3 linked regions of the Daphnia pulex genome follow. The protein of the gene in region 3 purifies or fractionates together with the protein of the main gene of each other region. This does not show direct contact. Links are inferred from orthologs where the notes say so. Each region holds a gene or a part of one and is shown on either strand. Other genes may lie near its edges.

What was found.
Region 1: the proteins of transcription initiation factor TFIID subunit 9-like (region 3) and transcriptional adapter 2-beta-like purify together in Drosophila melanogaster (affinity purification with western blotting; 4 studies listed by BioGRID, with this or other methods). This does not show direct contact. The link is inferred for Daphnia pulex from reciprocal best matches to the Drosophila melanogaster genes Taf9 and Ada2b.
Region 2: the proteins of transcription initiation factor TFIID subunit 9-like (region 3) and transcription initiation factor TFIID subunit 1-like purify together in Drosophila melanogaster (affinity purification with western blotting; 3 studies listed by BioGRID, with this or other methods). This does not show direct contact. The link is inferred for Daphnia pulex from reciprocal best matches to the Drosophila melanogaster genes Taf9 and Taf1.

The regions. Positions count from the first base shown.
Region 1 is NC_060026.1:11,480,623-11,485,646, reverse strand, and holds transcriptional adapter 2-beta-like, read right to left. Parts: upstream 3,386-5,024; 5' UTR 3,312-3,385; coding exon 3,305-3,311; intron 3,232-3,304; coding exon 3,134-3,231; intron 2,990-3,133; coding exon 2,930-2,989; intron 2,872-2,929; coding exon 2,715-2,871; intron 2,652-2,714; coding exon 2,413-2,651; intron 2,347-2,412; coding exon 2,105-2,346; intron 2,038-2,104; coding exon 1,806-2,037; intron 1,566-1,805; coding exon 1,510-1,565; intron 1,329-1,509; coding exon 1,085-1,328; intron 1,014-1,084; coding exon 951-1,013; intron 887-950; coding exon 785-886; 3' UTR 723-784; downstream 1-722. Other genes in the region: eukaryotic translation initiation factor 3 subunit F-like, read left to right, coding at 3,611-3,719, 3,892-4,180, 4,248-4,339, 4,398-4,648, 4,712-4,795. UniProt on the Drosophila melanogaster protein: Component of several Gcn5-containing histone acetyltransferase complexes that regulate nucleosome organization; involved in acetylation of histone H3, particularly on Lys-10 (H3K9ac) and Lys-15 (H3K14ac).
Region 2 is NC_060026.1:11,816,719-11,821,550, forward strand, and holds the start of transcription initiation factor TFIID subunit 1-like, read right to left. Parts: upstream 3,386-4,832; 5' UTR 3,245-3,385; coding exon 2,341-3,244; intron 2,282-2,340; coding exon 1,484-2,281; intron 1,419-1,483; coding exon 1,043-1,418; intron 982-1,042; coding exon 678-981; intron 610-677; coding exon 452-609; intron 376-451; coding exon 1-375. Other genes in the region: ADP,ATP carrier protein 1-like, read left to right, coding at 4,404-4,569. UniProt on the Drosophila melanogaster protein: TFIID is a multimeric protein complex that plays a central role in mediating promoter responses to various activators and repressors. Largest component and core scaffold of the complex.
Region 3 is NC_060027.1:3,088,672-3,092,193, forward strand, and holds transcription initiation factor TFIID subunit 9-like, read right to left. Parts: upstream 1,820-3,522; 5' UTR 1,691-1,819; coding exon 1,579-1,690; intron 1,513-1,578; coding exon 1,376-1,512; intron 1,314-1,375; coding exon 876-1,313; 3' UTR 780-875; downstream 1-779. Other genes in the region: G patch domain-containing protein 8-like, read left to right, coding at 1-409; protein IWS1 homolog, read left to right, coding at 2,198-2,354, 2,419-2,673, 2,756-2,887, 2,950-3,301, 3,373-3,517. UniProt on the Drosophila melanogaster protein: TFIID is a multimeric protein complex that plays a central role in mediating promoter responses to various activators and repressors.

The DNA.
Region 1 (5,024 bases), on a different chromosome or scaffold from region 3:
CGTGCCAGTGTGTTCCGCTTTTTGTTCAATGTGCTTTCTACGGCTGGTGGTGGCTTCCCGAAATTTATTTATTCTGATTTATTCACAATTAATTCATTTAAAGCTATTTTATAGCTATACAAGGTTAAGGTTTTTTAATTTGTGAAATTATTCATTCGTTCCCGGGTATTCTAAGAAGAATTTTTATTGTTTCAAAGAAACTGAGATTTAGCCTTTAGGTTGTACCGACATGCGTGAAAATAAAATTCTTTTGCAGTTAATTATACATGCGTATGTTCATAATAGACTTAATCTGATTTCAAATTTTGATTCAGAGTAAAAATTTGAGTCAGAGTTGTAATTTTCATTCATATTGGTGGTCAGCCGGATAGTAGCGTGCAAAGAATTGTAGATTTTAGCGATCTCCTTAGTGACTCACCTTCCCACTTCCCCTCACCCTTCTCCGACTAAGCCTCCCCAGTTCTACCTCTCTTAGACTCTGAATCTAAGACCGCGATCTAACATTGAGATTGAGTCCAGTCGAGTCCAGTAACCATACTGATAGGTGGCCGCCACCTCACGTTGCACTTTGTTCTTATTAAGATGAAAAAATCAGGTGATCTTTTATCTGATCAAACAAAAAAGGTTTATCATGCAAATTATATTAATATACTCAAAATTATTCGTAAAATTTAACTAATCTATCAAAACTAAAATGAAATGAATATTGGAAATTCGTTTAAAAAAAAACAGTTGAACTTTATTCAAAAAAGACACATATTTTTTCAACACAAAATTGCTGTTTTCACTCGACAGACAGAAAACCGGCTTTCGTAAAATAATTTACAATCATAGACTGCTCGTCAGCAGCCAGGCCGGGTAGGAGCGGAGTCTTGTCGGTCCCACTCTGAGAAAAAGATTTGTATTTTATTTCAAGTGAATAAATCAAGAGAGTGAATGATTCGACTTACCAATATGAGATTGGCCTTCAATGACGTATAGTACAATGGTCTCAAACGTAGATTTTGGCAAATCTGAGATTTAAAGGAAAACAATTATTGGATAAAACTTTAAAAATAATAATTATAATAATCGTTTCACTGACTTGCTTTTCAGCAGGACTGAGCAGTTCTGAACCGGGACATAAAGTGAGATCGTCGCTCTTGGCGAGGAAATTAGCAACTGCCTCCTGCCATTCTGACTGTGAAAGTCGGGTATTAGCGGAGAGTACGGGCCCGAGTCGAGGCAGACTGCTTGAAACGCTGAGGACGCTGCTGTTGTTGTTGCTGCCGAAGGAGGTGACTTTTGCGTCTCGAAAGCTTGAAAGTAGCACTTCTTCCCTTGCGTTGCTGCGAAAAAAAAAAAAAAAACAAAAAAAACAAGTTACATACATAAGCCACGAATTTACTTAACAATTCTAAGAACTAAGAAATATAGTTGAGATTTCGTAATATAATGCAAAGCTATCACAGGTAACTGATGAGTTAAACTGCACATAGTATGTAAAAAAGGGGAAATAATAAAGCTTACTCTGACTTGTGTAGTGTCCCAGGGTTTTGTACAATCGGCCCCGGTCCACTGCTTCCCTACGTTAAAGTCTATTGTTCAATTTCCAGTCTTTTTTGGGTTCTAATTTAACTAGCTTGTAAGATACTTAAAATAAAGACACATAAGTAAAAAAATAAAATCGAATATTCAACCAATGGACACCACCAATAATGATTCATTTCAACGAAGTATTAACAGGTAAATAAACCAGTCGCACACTCTTACTATCGCTTGACGAAACTATGCAAGCAATAGTACAGACTGGGAAAATTGCTTACGGATTTCCGGCGCTGGCGCTCCAACCGGGCTTCTTTCTTTCTTTCACGGAAGTATCGCAGTCGTTCATATTCAGTACATTCCTCATGTCGAGTTAATCCATTCCTACGGTATTTGATTAGTTCTCGAATCCGCAATCGCAAAGCTCTCTCTTTAGTTAGATTGCGTAAGAATTGCTCATGCTCAGGTGCCGTGTGGAATTGGGAAAACGAACGAAATTTTTCTTGCGTTTCTCTGTACAAGGAAAAAAATGTAACTGTTTGTAATGAATCTATAGTTAACTAATTGAAACATGAATTACTTTTCCTTTTGGGACTCCCTTTTTTTTGCGGCAGTCGTAGGTTTTTCCTTCTCTTTCTTGATAGCGTTAAAAAATTGGGATACCAGTTGAAAATCCCGAGCAACCCGCTTCCTTCGGGCTCTTTCCCTCAGGCGGCGAGTATACATATCGACTTGAGCCAGTTTTAGAGCCAAATCAATATCCTCGTCGTCATGATTAATGGCAAGATGAGAAACAATTGCCTCAGCTTCATTGTCATGTTCCTACAAAAAATAAAAATAATGTTGAAGTTTTTAAGACAATTTGTTTCATGACAAATTAAGACCCACCCTTTCAAAATCATCTCTTTGAGGCATGTATCCAAGTTCTAATGTTTCTTCAGGTTGAATAGCTAAAGGTGGTAGTCGTGATGTGATGGATGGAGATAGAGGTGCATTATCTGGACAAGTGTGATCAATTGCTGCCAAGCGAGACTCTCCACTTGCGAGAAGTCCATTTGGAAGCCCTTGCCATGTTAGTTTACCTATTGTTCCTGTGACAAATCTATCACAGTACTGTTCTTTGCATTCTGTAAAAAAAACATAATTGGAGAGTAACTGATGATAAAATCCTGATAAAAATCAACAATTACTTTCTGAATCCCGTGTTTCTACATGTTTCGCAACATCTTCCCAATTTCCATAACCAAACTGTTCTATTGCATCAAGTAACTGATAGTCTTCCCTTGCAATCCAGCCACCTTCATCCTCCCTTTGTTGGTCAGGAAAAATACTAAAAGTACCAGGATCCTAGAAATTAAAAATAAAGTATTTATTGAGAGTTTGATAGAAAAACTTAAATACTCACTATTAATCTATATCCATGACTACTTTTATGTGGTCCAATTTCACAGCCAAGAGAGAAACACTAGAAAGAAACATTGCAAAACTGTGTTATTAAAATAATTCAAATTCGCCGCCGACCAACCGGCAATACCACTCCGGTGGGCGTCATAACAAACAACAAAGAAGGAAGGGGAGGGATTCATTCAACGAAGATTTTATACCACACCTGTAAACAAAGTTCGTAATCGACACAAACGTTACATCGGATTCGAATGCCAAGGATGTCGTCCTGACAGTAGCCACATCGATGCTTCATAAATAAATCTGAGGAATGGATACAGAAAGAAAGATTTTCAATTTTCGAAAATAAGGATTCAACGAGAGCATTTTTTTTTACCCGCCATCTTTAGCCTTCCCTTCCCATCAAGAACAACTAAGCTATGCCAACGCTAGCGAAAGCATTGGTCGCGCCCTCTGGTGACTGAGAAGTGAGAAGTCTTTAAAAAATAATTAAAATGACGTGTAAAATTTATAAACAATGTACACCGTACATTTTATTAAATTAAATTTTTTTTAATGTATAACGAGACGTGTTTGGTAAATAGAAATAATTCAACGTATTATATATCACCAATTGGCAACTAGTTCGTGTCGGCTTTTTCAGCTCCAATGCGGTAGTGGTCTGCAAAAAAAGTCACGCAAAATGGCTCTCAATCTGACTGTCAAGTTGCATCCTGTTGTATTATTTCAGATTATTGACTCTTATGAGCGTCGTAATCCTGATGCACAGAGAGTAATTGGAACGTTGCTTGGTAACATACAATTTAGATCATCCGTTTGCTTTCGCGTTTTATTGTTTTTTCGACTGTTGACACGTGTATCGGTATCGAGTACCTGACAAAATCTTTGGATTATATACCTAAATTCCTATAATATGCGAAATCGAAGTTGTGATAACTCATTTTTCATATTGATTTTTTCCAGGCACATCAGATAAAAATGGTGTGGAAGTGACCAATTGCTTTTGTGTGCCTCACAATGAATCAGAAGAAGAAGTGGCTGTGGAATTGGACTTTGCCAAGGATATGTATGACTTGCATCGTAAAGTTAATCCCCAAGAAAGCATTGTAGGTTGGTGGGCAACTGGTACTGGAGTCACATCTCACTCTGCTCTTATTCATGAGTACTACTCCAGAGAGTCCTCCAATCCTGTTCACATTACAGTGGACACCACATTGCAAGATACCCGTATGGGAATCAAAGCTTATGTCAGGTACATGCTATTAATTCAGTATGATACAATTGCTTTGAAAAATAATTATCTTTAAATTATCATCTAGTGTCCCAATGGGTATCACAGGCAAAACTATGGGATGCATGTTTGCTCCTGTTTCTGTTGAGATAGCATGCTATGACCCAGAAACTATTGGATGTAATTATAATAGAAAATGTGTATGTATACTGGGAATTAATCTTTGATTGTTTTTCAGTAAATGCCTGCCAGAAAACCAAAACCTCGGTTAAACGTCAAGCGGGCATCGCTTCGGATCTTACTCAGATTGTTGAAGCCTCGCAGCAGATGGAAAACATGCTGGACACTATCTTGGCTTATGTTGACGACGTAATGAGTGGCTCCAAAACGGCTGACAACACGTTTGGTCGTTCTCTATTAGATATGGTTCATTCGGTACCTAAAATGACACCCGACGAATTTGAAGAGATGCTTAATTCAAACCGAAAGGTAGAAAACATTACCCAATATTTACTTATTTAATCTAATTTTTGTAAAACTTTATTAATTTAGGATTTATTGATGGTATTATATCTATCACAACTTACCAAGACTCAACTGTCGCTGAACGAAAAACTCACATTGTTGACAATTTAATTCAGAACGTTGATATAAAAAATAAAAATGAACATCTCCCAATTAAATTACAATTTTCTGATGTAGTCCTCGTGAGCATATTTATTAGGAAACTATAGTATACAGTCACACGTACACAAGGGGGAAGAAAATTTCTTCGCTACCAAGGAAAAGAATCACACCCATCTTCTCTCAGAGAGCAAAAAAAATGATGATTAGGAAAAGCGAAAAACAGAATTTCAAGAAACGA
Region 2 (4,832 bases), on a different chromosome or scaffold from region 3:
ATACGTTTAGGTTGAGATTCCAGCTCTTCCTTGTTGATGGTCGGTTTGTTGGGAACGCGGACGTAGGAGAAACCTTCGCCACAACCGGTAGGATCTGCCGGACCTGTTAATTGCAGGAGACATTTGTTTTTCATGGCCTGGACGTAGGCGCGGGTGGTGTTCCATGGGGCTACTTTGACTTCGTCGTCCATTTTCAGTTGCTGGTCTTCGTCGTCATCCTGCTCAGGTGCGAAAAGGAATTTCTCACCGTAACCGGCGTCTTTCAAACGCTGTTCGGCCGCGATCATACTGAAATAGGCGCAACATTGCTCCGGCGACACTAACGCTCGAAGCTCTTCTTCCGAAGGTAACCGGAAATCCGGCCGCAATACCCACCTGTTGAATTTGTCGGTAACCAAAAATGAGCAATTTGGACATCCGTTGGAGTATGAATTATTATACTACGAAATACCAATTGGAGTCGACTCCTGTTCGCTTAAAGTCCGCGCATAGTTTCAACCGTTTGCGGATACTGCTTTCGGAATGTGCTGGGAAAGCTCGTTTAATGTCATCCATGCGGATACGACGTGGAGTGTCGGGGCTCTTCCAAAACAGTCGGTAGATAAAGACCTGAATTAAAATAAACATTTTGTTTGGATGTTTCATAGAAGACTATTAGAATGACTTTAGTTGAATACTTGTAGGAAATCGCGGGTAAAGTTGTTGGCTCTTTTAGAATTCGGACCGGGCACTTCGTACAGTGGACATTCCTGACCGACAGTGTAGAATGCATCGACTTCACGGACATGGTACGTTGTCCGCGTTCGAATTACTAGGAAATCCGTCGACGGCAATTGATGTTCGTAGATTGGTGCACGGTACATGTTGTTTTCAATAGCCTGGATGGACTGGCCCGGATGGAGGGTACCCAAAAACGGTGAGGTGTGAGCGTAAGCTGTTTCACCGTATTTGTATTGAGGCGGCCCTGTGTCTTTGACAGCCCTGTGAAATAAATTAAATTTAAGTCTCTCGATCAAATTCCGTTTTAAAAATGAAAACTCACTTCCGTTTGTAATAATTTTTCAGCCTGGAGGACATGCCCACTTGACTGATTAACGGCGGGTGTTCTTCGCAGTATTCCAGGAGAATGAGATCACCATCTTTACCGCTGAGATCATCCGGTGTTCGCATGAAAAAGATATCACCACCACCGGCAGCCATTCGCTCGAGTTCACGCTGTTTGGCCATTTTTCTGATGTGGCGTAGGAGCGGGTGGACAGGATGAGGGCCAGGTGTCGATAACGGTCCATGGGAGTAGCGTTTGAGCGGTGGTCGATGGAAACTGCGCAGTTTCATTATCGACAGGTGCGTGGGAATGAAAGGTGCCTGGAGTTCCACCACGGGCGTTGAATGTTGAATGATATTTCCACCCGTGCTGACTGTAATATTCCATAAATTCCAATTAATTAAGTTTTTAAAATTTAGTTGTGATGGATTAATTTACCTTTGATAGCCGCCTCGGTCGCTTTGGCTGCATAATATTCGTCATTGGAGATATTGTAAGGATCTTTATCGTTATTTTCCGACGGTGGAGGAGGTGAATCGTCTTCCAATACGTTAATGACACCGGCTTTTCCCAAGAGTAACTTGGATTTTCGGACGTGAGGATGAGGAATCTTGACTTTGACAGGCTGTTGAACGTATGCTTGTTTTGTGGCAGGATCAATGTCATCAGGAATGGTCAAAATGACGTTTTCATCGTTAGTGTCTAGTGTCAATATCTTGGGTTTGGGCATCTCCTTCATGTTTTCGCTGTCCCAGATGATGTCATCTTCCCACTGGCCAAACACCAACTCGTCGTTTTCGACTGGGAAAATCGAATGCCAAACGTCGTCGGCTGCCTCTTCGACGGCTGCAGCAGCAGCAGCCGCAGCGGCGGCGGCAGCGGCTGCTGCGGCCGCTCCTCCGGGTTTGTTTGCAGCCGATTTTGCGCCACCTTTAGCTCCAGGAGTTGCTGCTTTACCGGTGGCTGGAGTGGCAGCAGGGGTGGCTTTCTGTGTAGCCAAGCGATTGGTAGCCGTCGGGAGCCATCCTGAGGCTAAGCCACCTTTTGCATTCAATTTTTGCATTACTTTGTGCTTGATATCGTCGCCATTCCAGACCACGTCGTCTTCCCAATTTAACTGCGTGATCATGTGAAAGGCCTCGTCTGGAAATTTGAACCCGGGCAGGTCTTTGCCATCTTCGTCAACATTATTAGGATCTTTCCGTTTCACTTTGAAACCGTAATCAAACTCTTCTCCTATAAAAAGCAAGGAAACGTTAATCAAGTTCAAATAAATAATTAATTAATTGTTATACCTGATTCTGGAACTCCAAGGATGTCATACCAAAGCTGAGCCGGCCCAAACCTCCAATCCGCTACATTGGGTCCTTTGTCATCATCAGAGTTCTTGATATTATTGAGAGCATTAGGATCTTCTAGAGGCTTTAAGAAACGTTCTTCGTCATCTGGTCTGCATTTTTCCGGAGGAGGAGGTGGGCCGAATTTGAAAGTGATTTCTACATGTTCAATTTCCTCTTCAACATAGTCTTCTGAATCTGGAGATTTCTTCTTCTTTCTCTTCTTCTTTACACCTCTCCAGATTTGAGGAAGACTACTGGGTTTTCCAGGCCCAAAGAGTCTGGAAAAGCACAAGACTTTGTCAGGCCGAAAGTCTGGGAATAGCTCTCTCACATCTATGTTAGCGTATTTGGAAGGAAGCATGGCTGCCAAAGGCGTTTCCAATCGTTTCTTTGCCTCACTTGCCGAAAGGCTCTTGGATGTTGGTGTAGGTGGTGGTGGCATGAGGATTGAGTCATCAAGATATGGTCCTCCTTCGTCTTCTGCCAGTTCGTTGATGTCAGAATAGTCTTCAGCAGTTGGAGATTTTGCTCCATCATCTTCAGAATCTGTACTTTGATCTTTGCTTACAGAATCGTCTTCTCTAATGACATTTTGAAGTATTGACATCAAGCCAAATCGTCCAAGGGTGCCCAGCTGACGTTTAGATTCCTCATCAAGGATATCTGCTTCAAGTTTACCCTCTTTGTCAATATTACCAAAGAGGAACCCAGTAAGGTTTAATCCTGATGTTCTTCTACCTCCTCCACCTCCGTCTTCTTGAGATGATTGCGAATCGTCATCATTATTATCGGGGCTATTACTCAAATCTCCATCATCATCACTACTGTGATTTTCGTTTTCTTCATCACTGCTTGGCATTTTGGATGTTTTAAAATCCTAGCTTTAGAAGAATCACGCAATCATAACAAACACAAATTTAGTTTTACTTTTTTTCGGTCATCAAATCAACACAAACAGGCTGACGGGAAGCCGAAAATTGTCTTGATGGTAAATATGAACAGCGTTGCCAGGTTTAGTTTCAACTCAATTTCAACTTGATTATTTTATTTAAGAATTGTTAAATGACTAAATAATTCCAGAAAAGATCATTGAATTGTTTACATAAATAATTAAGAGAAATAACTGGCCAAACTACGTGACAAGATTCCGTGTGAATTCAGATGACGTCATTCCATAGAGAAATATGTAGGTTATACGGCCCAGTCGAGTTGGCAACTATCCATCAAACTTTCCATTTTTGGTTTCATCCAGATTTTTTTACCCTTTACAACTGAATTCATTTTATGCATTTTCGGGAATTCATTCATTTCGCAATATCGATGAGATGAGATAATTACATAATTCTTGATTACATCAATCGGGTTCATATAGGGTCATTAGGGTCGAAGTACACCCCAATGGGGATTCCTCCCCCTATTTGATAATCTTCTAACATAAAAAAAGTAAAAGGCGCCAAAAGGGCGGCATTTTCCTATCCCCGTCACGTGAAAATGCCTAAGGCACTTGTAAAATCCGTTACTAACGGATTTTTGGATTGGTCCTTAGAAAAATCGAAGTCCCAGTAGATTGGCGAAGGCCTTTCATATAAGCTAACTGAAGTGAATTGATCACAGGTGGCGTTGCACAAAACTACATTCAATTTTAATTAAAAACTGCAAATAACTGAAAAATTACATTTGTAAAATTCTCTTGAAAATAGCACATTATTATTAAGGCAGAGAAATGGTCAATTAAGGTTCAAGAAGTGAAGAAATGATATTGTAAATTATGATCAATTCCGACCTAGCGGTCATGACTGGAAACTTGATTAAATGCGCAATCTCAATCGAGTTGACAGGCCTTTGAATTGTGGCCGTAACCAAGGCACCTTAGAGGGCACCACTGAATTGTTAAAAGACCGAAGGTAGAAACTCAGAGACCAGACTCGTACTCTTCCCTTTCGTGCTCGAAGTCTCAACACGTGCACAATCTGCCCGGCTCTCCCATCGTTTCTGCTTGTTGAAAAAAACCACTGAAAATGTCTGGTAAAACCGCTGATCCTCTGTCCTTTGCCAAGGACTTTATCGCTGGTGGTGTTTCGGCTGCCGTTTCCAAGACGGCCGTCGCCCCAATTGAACGAGTTAAGCTGCTCCTTCAGGTTCAACATGCCTCCAAACAGATCACGGCCGACAAGCAGTACAAGGGTAAGATGGCTGAATCCCCTCCCCCCCCCCTTCTCTAGTTACTTAATCGGGAGAGATATTCTACCGTTGGTTCCGAACCGGCTCACGCCGGCACGGCGCCATGTTGGATCACAAAAAATCCTTAAGTTTTTCTCGCAAAGTTTAAAAGATATTTTTACATTGTTCTTGTATGCTCAGCTAGTATGTTCGTTCGCCTCATGGGCTTTTGATCATGTAAACCAGTTTTTGCTAGTTCTGGAATTGAATGTGTGTGACTTGAAAAG
Region 3 (3,522 bases):
ACGATCGTATTCGCGTAGTCGAAGCCGTAGCCGCACTCGATCCCGTTCTCGCAGCCGCTCACGCAGCTACAGTCGCAGTGTAAGCCGCAGTCCATCTCGCAGCCGCTCCCGTAGCCGCCAGGACAACTATCGCGGTCGTGACCGAGATGCAAGAGATAACCGGGATGCCAGAGATACAAGTCCTCAAGGTCGTAATGATCAGGATCAGCATCGTAACGAACGAGAAAGTGGAGAAAGAGATGTACAGCAACGTAGTCCAGCACGTGAAGAGAAACCTGGTCCTGTACCCGCTCCAGTTGCCGCTGTGACAGCATCGTCGTCCCAGTCTGATCGTCGTAAAGTTGGAAGTAAATGGGACGATGGAGGTGGTGACGACGATGAAGACTTGGTCCCACCGGGCTGCGAATAGTTTTTCTACACGTGCAGTTAATACTGCAACATTTGATGAGCACATGGAATTCCTTCATTTTTTTTTCTCATACATTTTAACTATTCGCCCCCCCCCCATTTGCAAAGTTCAACACGATCAAGTCTGCATAGCAGTTTTCAACCCTATGATTTTACTTTCAGAAACCAAGCTGATTTTGTCTCGTCAGCCGTTCCATTGTGTTCCTCAGCACTCGTTGTCCCCCTTTAAGATTCCTTTTCTCGTGTCAAACATGTGTGCTAAGGTGATAAAACATTGAGTTGAACATCTTTCCTATGTACATCTGGAAGCCATATTACACGAGCAACGTTAATTCATTTTTTAAATACTTGGATAGCATGAAGAAAAAATCTTAAGTCGATTGATTTATTCAAGAATTTATCATTACTCAGGCAACGTAACGCGAGCTTGTAAGAAATTTAATGAAATAAGAAACCATTCCAATAATTCACGCAGCATCATAATCATCGTCCTCTCTTTCACGCTTCACTCCTCGAACATCAATTTCCATTTTCTCTGCTGGCTGATTGGGCTGAGCCGGAATATTGATCTGAATCTTTGGAACATTGGCGGGAGTATTAATTGCAGAACCAGTGTTGATCTTCACAACAGGTCGAGGAGTTGTGGGAGTTCCCGCATTAATCGTAGTGACCCGAACTGCAGGTGAACTCGGTCGGTGCACAGCTCTTGCCGCCCCCAGCATACCAATTCTAGATCCAGTAGTCGATCCACCACCAAGAGCCTTTGGTAATGTCTTTTTGATAGTTTTCAACTTGTAATTGCAAGCAGCAAGGCAATGACAGTCAGGTGGCAGGCGAATGCCACAGTGTGGTTTCACTGAAGGTAGAGGTGTGCTATTTTTTGATCTTGCAACTTCCATGAGAATCTAAATGTGAAATAGATGAGAATATGGCCAAATAACTTATTTCTATTGTAAATTCTGTATACTTCACGTGGTGGGGGAGAAGTGAAAGATTGTTCCATTTGCATTGAAACAGCAAGTTTGACATCGTCCAAATCAATCCCTTTTTTCTTAGCATGATTTGCATATGCCTTAGCGTCATCTAGGACAGTAGTCACATATCCTAAGATTAAAAACAGTTAATGAAAAGTCGTTCATAATCGTTCTATTTGACTATTCCTAGGCTTACGGTATATGAATTCCAACAGTTGATTGATAACCCTAGGCTCGTATTCAGTAATGCCCATATCTTTTAGGATAGCTTGAATTACTAGAGCATCACGGGGAATTTTTGTAGACATGGTCGTTAGATTTGAAATCAAACTGAGATACCAATAAACCAAATAAACCAACTATTATTGACTTGAATTCAAAAGATTCCTTCGAGGCTGTCTCATTTCACTTTTGTTAACAGAATAAGTTGGGCTGTCAACTTATCCTTCAGCCATCTAGCGTTAGCTTTGAGCATTTTTATTCATTTGTTTGTGTGCTGGAAGACGAGCACACAATAAAACCAAAAGTTTTAATCTTTCTCTTTTTTTTAAGATTTTAATTAATCCCTAACCGTCGATCAGTCAACACTAGGTAAGACATGCACATTCCAATGAAGATTATGATTCTGTGTTCTGGTTAAAGAAATTGAATTTATTTATTACGTTCAAACATCTTTTTTACCGGCATCACAACATTTCCTAATTAAAACGATATGTTCTATTAATCTCATCATAATTTAAGCAATATAGATTCACAACATTTGTGAATAAAGTTGAAACAATGGTACTTTTTCTATTCTAAACAGCCTTTAGAGGATGGATGACTCTTTGCACATGTCTGAGCCAAACATCAAAGACGATGCAGAAGATTCCAAGGAAGGAAGTCTGGGGAAGGATGGAAATGATTCAGTGTCAAGTGAACAGAAAGAAATAGAAGATAAAGCCAACAATTCCAATGTTTCTAATGATTATGGTAAGTTGAGTGAAGTTATGTTTATTTCTTATAATACGATGTCAATCTACTATTAAAATCACAGACAAAGCAAAAGATGATGATGGCTCTCAGTCTCCCCATTTGAAGAAAGGCTCTAGAAGTCGATCACCATCTGCTTCCAAATCACATTCAAGATCAAGATCTCGTTCTTCATCTAGATCAAAATCTGGGTCTCGTTCTCGATCAGGGTCACGTTCGTCACGCCGTTCGTCACGCCGTTCGTCAAAATCACGGTCTCGCTCTAAATCACGTTCAGGCTCAAGATCTAGAAGTCACTCTAAATCAGTTTCTCGAAAAGGTACTGTATTAGTTGCTAAAAATTTTGATGAGATTAAAACAATTATAATATTCCAAATAATAACTGGTGTTAAAATAAATAGGCTCCAGGTCACGTTCTAGATCTGGTTCTCGTTCGTCTCGTTCGAGATCGCGTTCGTCACGCAGATCTTCTAAATCACGTTCAAGGTCTGGTTCTCGCTCGAGATCCCGAAGCCGTTCAAAATCACGATCACGTAATAGTAGTTTTGGGTAATCCGATTCGTGTTTTGTTAATGTACAAATGTTTTCCAAAAAGGATCCAGGTCTAAAGGCTCAAGATCTAGATCAAGATCTTCGTCGGCGTCCAGCGTGAAAAGCAGGGGAGGTGGTACTCGTAAACGTAAACACAGTCGAAGTGGCAGTGACTCCGACGGACCTGGAAGCTCGAAGAAAAAAGAAAAGACGAAATCACGTATTGCTCGTCCAGCTGGAGATTCAAGTGATGAAGAAGGGGGTAGTCGAAACGAAAAAGACAAAAAAGTTTTGGACGATGTTTTTGGGGAATCTGGTGACGAAGCACCAAAAAAAGACGAAACTAAACAACCAAAACAGGATGATTCAGATAAGGGACAAGATTCTGAATCAGATAATCCAGATGATGATCAAAGGTAAAAAAAAAAAATCATGTGAAATTTTCGTTGTCATTTTTTAAATTCATTATTGATGTTTGTATTAACAGGTCAGAATTTGTTTCTGATTTTGACCTGATGATGGCCCGCAAAAAGGATGAAAAACGGAAGCGCAAGCGCAAAGACGTCGACATCATTAACGATAACGATGACTTGATTGCTCATATGATTCAACAAATGAAAGCTGCTTCTGAAGTAAA